2 linked regions of the Cricetulus griseus genome follow. The protein of the gene in region 2 purifies or fractionates together with the protein of the main gene of each other region. This does not show direct contact. Links are inferred from orthologs where the notes say so. Each region holds a gene or a part of one and is shown on either strand. Other genes may lie near its edges.

Region 1 (3,746 bases), on a different chromosome or scaffold from region 2:
TTCAAGTTATCATTTTGTATTTTAATCTCAAAACTTCACTTTAGAAGTGGGGCATGGTGATGAACACCTTTAATCCCAGCACTTGGCATTGGCTAGCCTAGTCTATAAAGTACCAGGACAGCCAGACTGTCATACAGAGAAACCCTGTCTGGACCTGTCTGGGAAAAGAAAGAGAGAGAGAGAGAGAGAGAGAGAGAGAGATTGATTGATTTCAGGACAACCTCCAATGTGACTATGAGTCCAGACCCTTGCTCTAGAGATGAGTGGTATGGCTGTTAAAAGACCTATAATTCAGCTACCCATAGAGATTAGAGCTGGTAACCTCTAACAGAGCTGAAAGCAACTGCAGCTTCTAAATGTTCTTTACGAAAATCTATCTGTGCATGACTCAGGTCCTTTCCAGAATTCAAAGACCACACAAGGGAACTTGGGAAAGTTCAGGTGAGAACCTAAAGGTAGAAACCACCTATGATGCCAGATTTCAGAAATTTTAATTTAAAAAAAAAAAAAAGGATCTTCCAGTCTCTTTGGCCTCAGTGGGCGAATGAAGCACCTAAAAGTTGTCAATCGAATATTCAGACAGGGATTCCGTGAAGGGACAACACCTAAACCCAAGAGGGCAGCTGTTGCAGCATCCAGTTCATCTTGAGGATTTTAGTCAGTCTTAAAAATAAAATGTTCTGAGCTGGGCGTTGGTGGCACATGCTTTAATCCCAGCACTGGGAGGCAGAGGCAGGCGGATCTCTGTGAGTTAGAGACCAGCCTGGTCTCCAGAGCGAGTGCCAGGATAGGCTCCAAAGCTACACAGAGAAACCCTGTCTCAAAAAACCAATAAATAAATAAATAAATAAATAAATAAATAAAATGTTCTGGTTTCTGGGGCATACAGTGATTTTCCTATAATCCCATTACTTTGGGGACAGGGGACAGAAACACCAGGAATTCAAAAACAGCCTTGACTACATGGCTGAGTTTGAGGCCAATCTGGTCTACACTGGGCAGTGGCAGAGCACAACTATAATCCCAGCACTTGGGAGGCAGAGACAGATGGATCTCAGAGTTCTAGGCCAGCCTGGTCTAAAGAGTGAGTTCCAAAACCACCAGGGCTACACAGAGAAACCCTGTCTCAAAAAAACCAGAAAGAAAGAAAGAGAGAGAGAGAGAGAGAGAGAGAGATCAAAGGTAAAATACCACAGAATACTTTTAAAGTATATTTTGTTGTTTTTTGAGGCAAGGTCTATGTAGCCCAGGAACTCCCATTGTAAAGACCAGGATAGCCTAGAACTTTCTGCCTTTAAGTGCTGGGATTAAAGATGTGCACCACCCAACACACCCTGGCTATTTAAAATATTAGTACTTTTAACTAAGCAACTGAGTGAATACTTCATTCCAAGGAAATGAAACTTAAAAACACCTAATCACCTCAAAACATCGACAGAAGATTTGTATAGTTTCCTAGGCTTGCTGCTTTTTGTTTTGTTTTCAGTATGGTAAACTCTAGTTTCTCAACTGAATGGGCTGAAATGACTAGGTTTTATTTGATGCTTTCCTTAAAAGTTGGGGCCCTAAAATCCTAAAGCCCAGACAATCTCTGATCGTTGCTGCTTGGATAAGTGTGCATATTTAAGAGTTATTTAAAAGTTAAAACAACTCTAACCTGCAATCTCTGAAAGTCAAAACACAGAAAGCAAAAACAAAACAAACTCAGATTCTAACTTCAGCACGTTAAAATAGAAAAACAGTTTTCTAACCACCCCCTGAACATAGCAAAAATAATAAAATAATAAAAATAATAGGTAAAGCTTCCTGGTATTTACAACAGGCCTAACATGGTGAAAAATTGCCATCTGAGAAAAGCACGACCTAACAGGCCCTTCACTACCCAGGATGCAAAAGATGCCAACCTCAGGCAAGGCCGTACGGGCTCCACCAAGGCCGACCTGGCTTCCCCCAGGTTGCTCGGCCCGGCCTTCCCCTGAGTCTCAGGGCTCCTGAGGCCTTCACGTGGCCCAAAGTCCACGCCCACTGGGCCCAGTCGAGGCCTCCGGCTTGCAGTGTTTTCTCTTCGCGGGCTTAGGGTCTTCCGCGTGTGGTCGGTGAAGTGGCCGGAGGGCATCCCAGAGCCACAGAGCTCCGTGCCGGCAGTGTGAACCCTAAGGCCTAAGTAGGCCGGGGCCGCCTTGCCGAGGGAGCTCGTCAGGCCAGCCGGGGCCTGCATGACACAGCACCATCTTGCCCAGGCTCAGACCCGGGCCCAGCGCGGGCCCGACCTAGGGGGCGCGCGGGTGCACAGCCCGGCCCGAGGCCCTCACTCGCCCCTTTCCTCTCCTTCCGTCCCTCTCCTCCCGGCCTAGACTCTCCTCAGACGCGGCCCTACCGGGCCTACCCAGCGCGGCGAGTCCCACGCGTGCGCGCCTCCGCCCAGCCGGCGGGCGGGCGCGGCGGGCGGCGGCCCTGCGCGCATACACTTACTCGGCTCCAGAGGCCATGGCGCGCGCCTGTCCCGGTCGGCGGCTGTGGCGGCCTGAGGGTAACGGCTATGAGAATGGCAGGCGACCGGCTAGGCCCGGGCTTGACTCACTCAGGCGGTGGATCAACAGCGGTGACAAACCCTCAGGCAGCCTCCCTCTCGCTTCCTCCCAGCGGCACCGGGGCGGCAGGCGGGCGGGAGACGCTAGCTCCTGATCCGCGAGGGGGTCAGCGGCAGCGACTAATCAAACGACGGCAGCAAACGCTTCGCTGAGACTGAGCCGAGAAGAGCCGAATCATCGGAAGGAAAGCTGCTCTCACCTCAACCAATCAGAGCCTGCCTTGGGACTCGTGCCCGCCTCTCCGTGCCTCTCCCCAGCAACCCGCGGACCACAACCAATCAGAAAATTCGTTTATGGCCTGGCCCCACCTCAAGGCTGCAACACGCCTAGTAACGCCACGTCAATTGGCCGCAGCACTACGCTTCCTCGACGGATTGGGATTCTTGACCAATCAGCAAAAGGAATAGGCCAGATTGTCTGGTAAAAGGAGAGCCTTTAATGCCTCCGAGGAGGCCTCTCCTACTTGGCTCCAGCTGATTGGCTCCTTAGTTTATAAGCTGCTGGAAGAACCTAACACAATGGCTTGAACCCTTATTAGTTTAGTCGGGTTGTAATGGCAACCCACGTAGTCGATTTCTCGCCAATCCTGGCGATCCTCTTATTCCACCACAATAACCCTTTAAAACACTGGCTCCAACGAAGGGCGTGGTGGATGGTCTAGGTCTGTAACCCTAGCAATTGGGAAGCAGAGGCAGGAGAATTATTAGTTGGAGATCAATTCAGGACCTTTTCTGAAAAACAAAACCGGGTTGGGCATAGTGGTGCAGATCTATAATTCTAGCGTCAAAGGAATATCTCAAAAATAAATTTTAAAAGCAGTGTAGTGGCACATGCTTTTAATTTCAACACTTCGAAGACAGCGGCAGGCTGACCTCTTGAGATTTAAATCAGGCTGGTCTATTAAAAAAAAATAATAATTGCAGCCAGTCAGGGCTACATAGTGAGACCCTGTATCAAAACTAAGTAAATAAAATTTTAAAAAAACCACACACACAAAAAAAAAAAAAAAAACAGCTGGGTATGGTGGTGTTCATCCTAGATGCCAGTACTCCACAGACTAAAAGCAGGAGGGTTGAGTTTGAAGCCAGCTAGTGCTACACAGCTAGACTAGGTCTACCAAAACCTAGTCACCCTTTCCCTGGGCCCTAGTTCTGA
Region 2 (3,746 bases):
TATCTTTCGTCCTCCTGAGTTAAGAAGTCTATGTTTGCCCCTATGCATGGGAAGGCGAAGGCCCTTGTATTGGTTTTAAGTGAACCCACTTTACTCATAAAGAATTTGGGATGATTTTGTAGAAGAAATGCATAGTGGAATAAGAGTGAAGAAAACAAAATGAAGCCAGCTAATACATAAACAAAAAATAGCAAGTGGGAAAAACAAATCTTTTCCCGACATCATTTCCCCAAACTCCACCGATAAGTGTCTGCTGAAAGCTTCAAACCTGGGCAGAACCAAAACTGGTCCATGGTTGCTTTCTGAATGTTCTATTCAAAGAACATTCCAGCATGGTGGTGAAGCACTCTCTCTCTCTCTTTCTCTTTCTCTCTCTCTCTCTCTCTCTCTCTCTCTCTCTCTCTCTCTCTCTCTCTCTCTCTCTCTTTCTCTCCTCTCTCTCTCTTCTGTCTCTTGTCTAAAGTGGTACCATGAGCCACAGTTGGATGTTGGCTATACTGAAATATGGCTAATGAGAATAAGAATTGAATTTTAAATTTTATTTCCTTTAATGGCCACCTGTGGCTAATGCCCACTGTGTTTGTATAAGACCAGTACTGTGGCCCAAGACGGAAAAGGGCAACTCAGCAAAATGGGCTTCTCCTCCCCAACAGACCCCAGGAGCACCCCTTGGATATACTTTACTGGCACAGACAGCAATATAGCAAGTCTCTCAACATTTCATTTTAACAAACCAAGTGTTTTTAAATGTTTCTCCATGTTGTGCTTGACATCGCAAATGCTGTTGGCTCCGCAATCTTGTACAATGACCACCTTTTATATCCTCAATGGGCCTCTCCCATGGTCATATCTGTAGGCCAATCCTGTTGGCCTCCTAGACCATGACCTCCAATAACACTTTGGAAGCTAATGGGAGAATAATTTGTCTAGAAAATTTTCCTGTGGCAGCCTTCTCATTCAGGTGACTTATTGTAGTTTGAGGTTCCAGCCAGGGCTGGGAACTGCTAGTACGTTCTACAAAGGGCCCCTGGTGGGACAAGGCTAGGTTCCAGCTGCAGGTCCCTCCAACCCTTGTCCTCCATACCTTACAGTTGATCTTGGTGGCACTTCTGGAGTCAGCAGTGCCCCGGACGCCGCTGGAACTCTCGGCCTCATAGTTGTATACGTACTTCCGGAGGTGCTTGAATCGGGTTGCATCTTCTAAAGTGAGGAGAAAAATATGTCAGCCCCGAAGCTGAAGCGACTTTCTTAAGGCAGCTACTGCTGGCCAGAGAGGGTCAGTGGCATAGGGTAAAAGTGGTGACCGAACTCAAGTACTTGTGGTTGACTTTTCATTATGCTTAATTTGTCTTTATAGATTTAACATCAGCACTGTTTTGTTTTCTGAGTCTGATGATTAAATTATTTGTGATTCCTTAGATCATCTAAAGTACATGGAAGGGAGGGCGCCAAGCATCAATTAATGGAGCTACAAAAATCTGTAGGAAGACCCTTTGAAAAATTGACTTATCAAAGGGATAGGGCTCAGCATTTCTCAGCGTGAAGACGCTATCATGAAATGACTATGAAGTTCCTGAGACAAAATTAATTGTTAGGGCCGTCTATCTGACTTTCAGACACCCTCCAAGAAGAAACTTCTGCAAGTTTCTTTCCATTGTGCTTGGCAGGAATTTTGTGGTTGATATGACAAAAATAACTTGGCTAGGAACTCGGATGTAATACTGCCAAATAACCACCAGATGGCGGTGCTGCCCCATCAGAGGGGAGGCCAACCCTGGCGCTTTCCCGAGAACACTGGGTATTGCAGCACGATTGATCCTCTGACCTGGAGGGTCAGGTAAATAGGAAGGGGTGGAGGGTCTGGAGTTCCGCACAAAGGTTAAAGTCGCCATTTCCTCACATAATCGGAATCAATGATTAGTCAGTGATAAACAGCACAGTAATGTCTCCTTACAGGGCCCACAGTCTCTTCCCTACCCCACCTCGGGACCGAGCCTTGGAATAGGACAGAAGGGCCGGGATCCTTTGGAAGAGGAGACTGGGTTCACAGAGACTCAAAACCTTCGCTTCCGGGGCTCAGAGCAGTGCCCCCTAATCTGAGGCCCTTAGGAATAGTTGCAGAGGAGGGCAGGGTGGAATGCGCCCAGTGTGCGCTGTGGAGAAATGCCTTACTTGGACAGTTCAAACTGAAGTTTTCCAGGACTTCATCTTCTGTAAGAGAAAAAGGAAACCTTGAGCTCTCCCTTATTTTCCAGTGGGTTCCAGGGGTTGACAGGAGGGACCCTCGGAGGCCTTCATTATTCTAGGGCTATCCAGAGACTTTTAACTTTCCCATCCACTGTCCTCGCCTGGAGCCCGGTGGAGCCCCCTGCTAGCTCTGGTTCTCACCACCCCTTCCCTAGAACCTCAGCGGCTGCCCTCCCTCTAACCTGGCCCAAGCTATCTAGCGGTCACCCTGCCACCAGTTTCCACTCCTGGATGCAACTGATGGTTTAAAGCCACAACTCAGGGCTCTGGTCCCCACCCTGGCTTTCACCGAGCCTTCTTCCCTCACTTACGAGCCCAGACGCTGGTGTCCAAGAAGAGTAGCAGGAACAGCAGCAGCAGCAGCGGAAGCCGCAGTGCAGGGCTCTGTGGGCCCATGGCCGATGGATGGGTTCGGTGGCTCCCTGGCTTTGGCCTGGCCACGGCCTAGCCCCGCTGCTGGTTCTGCAGGCTCTTCCGAGGCGACACCCAGTCAGGTCCTTGATCCACTGCAGGCACTGATGAATGCTCGGTCACCTGCAAAGTGCTCCATTTATAGGAGGCTCTGGCTTAGGGAGAATTGCCAAAGGTCCAAAGGGCATGGCCTGGGCTTGTTTGCTTTTCCACACAAGCTTATATCTGGGTGGCTAAGACTGAGTCTGATGGGGTCTCACTGCTGGTTCAGCCACTACCACCTGAGATTTTCTCAGAGCTGGTCTTTTCTCAGGGGGTCTCAGGCAGTGGATGGTGGGCTTACTGTCCTGTAAGCCTTCCCTGGCTGTCATCAGGAGACAACCAGCCATAGGGACAACGACCCCACTCCTGTGCTGACTATGGAGCCATTTAGTAAACTGTTCTTAATGTCTTGGTGGGGGCTCCTTCTTAAATTCTTTCCCTTTTTGGTGGACTTTGGGCTTGAATAAGCAGCCCGGTCCTGACTAATTTAACCAGTACAGGTGGCTGTGGGGAGGGAGGAGAAAGGGGAAAACCTGGGAAGTCTCCCATAAATCTCAGTGAAGACCGCGCCCCTGGAGGAGACCAGGGCCCAGTGTCAGTCATAGAAAGTGGGATAGAACTGTGATGGCCTGGAGAGGTGAATGTCTGAGCTGGGCTGTGCCCTCACAGCACCCCCAATCTAGTTGGGGGTGATACACCTCATAAAGAGGAAGCTGCAGGTAAAAAATTAAGGTAGGATGTAGAGAATGTTAATTCTTGTGGGTGTTGGGAGATGGTGGGGCACTTGGGAAGGAGTGGTTCTAAGTGGTGGCCTAGGGACAGTGGAGCGGAACTGAGGGGACTGGAGTCCTGGAAATACAGTTGTAGAAGTCAGTATCTATCACTACAGTATGTCGTGTGTGGACACAAATACAGATTCATGGGTACCCATGTGTAGATGTCCATGCACCTGTGTGTACATGCATGCAGAGGTCATGGGTCACATTTTAGTGTTTCTCAAAAATCACTCATTGCCTTAGCTTTTGAGGCAGGGTCTGTCACTGCAC

What was found. The genes of interacting proteins can lie anywhere in the genome.
Region 1: the proteins of Apob (region 2) and Vcp purify together in Homo sapiens (affinity purification with western blotting, with the first as the bait; 3 studies listed by BioGRID). This does not show direct contact. The link is inferred for Cricetulus griseus from reciprocal best matches to the Homo sapiens genes APOB and VCP.

Annotation. Positions count from the first base shown.
Region 1 is NC_048595.1:100,537,100-100,540,845, reverse strand, and holds the start of Vcp (transitional endoplasmic reticulum ATPase), read right to left. Parts: upstream 2,755-3,746; 5' UTR 2,490-2,754; coding exon 2,473-2,489; intron 1-2,472. UniProt on the Homo sapiens protein: Necessary for the fragmentation of Golgi stacks during mitosis and for their reassembly after mitosis. Involved in the formation of the transitional endoplasmic reticulum (tER).
Region 2 is NC_048600.1:18,391,928-18,395,673, reverse strand, and holds the start of Apob (apolipoprotein B-100), read right to left. Parts: upstream 2,644-3,746; coding exon 2,559-2,643; intron 2,212-2,558; coding exon 2,173-2,211; intron 1,201-2,172; coding exon 1,085-1,200; intron 1-1,084. UniProt on the Homo sapiens protein: Apolipoprotein B is a major protein constituent of chylomicrons (apo B-48), LDL (apo B-100) and VLDL (apo B-100). Apo B-100 functions as a recognition signal for the cellular binding and internalization of LDL particles by the apoB/E receptor.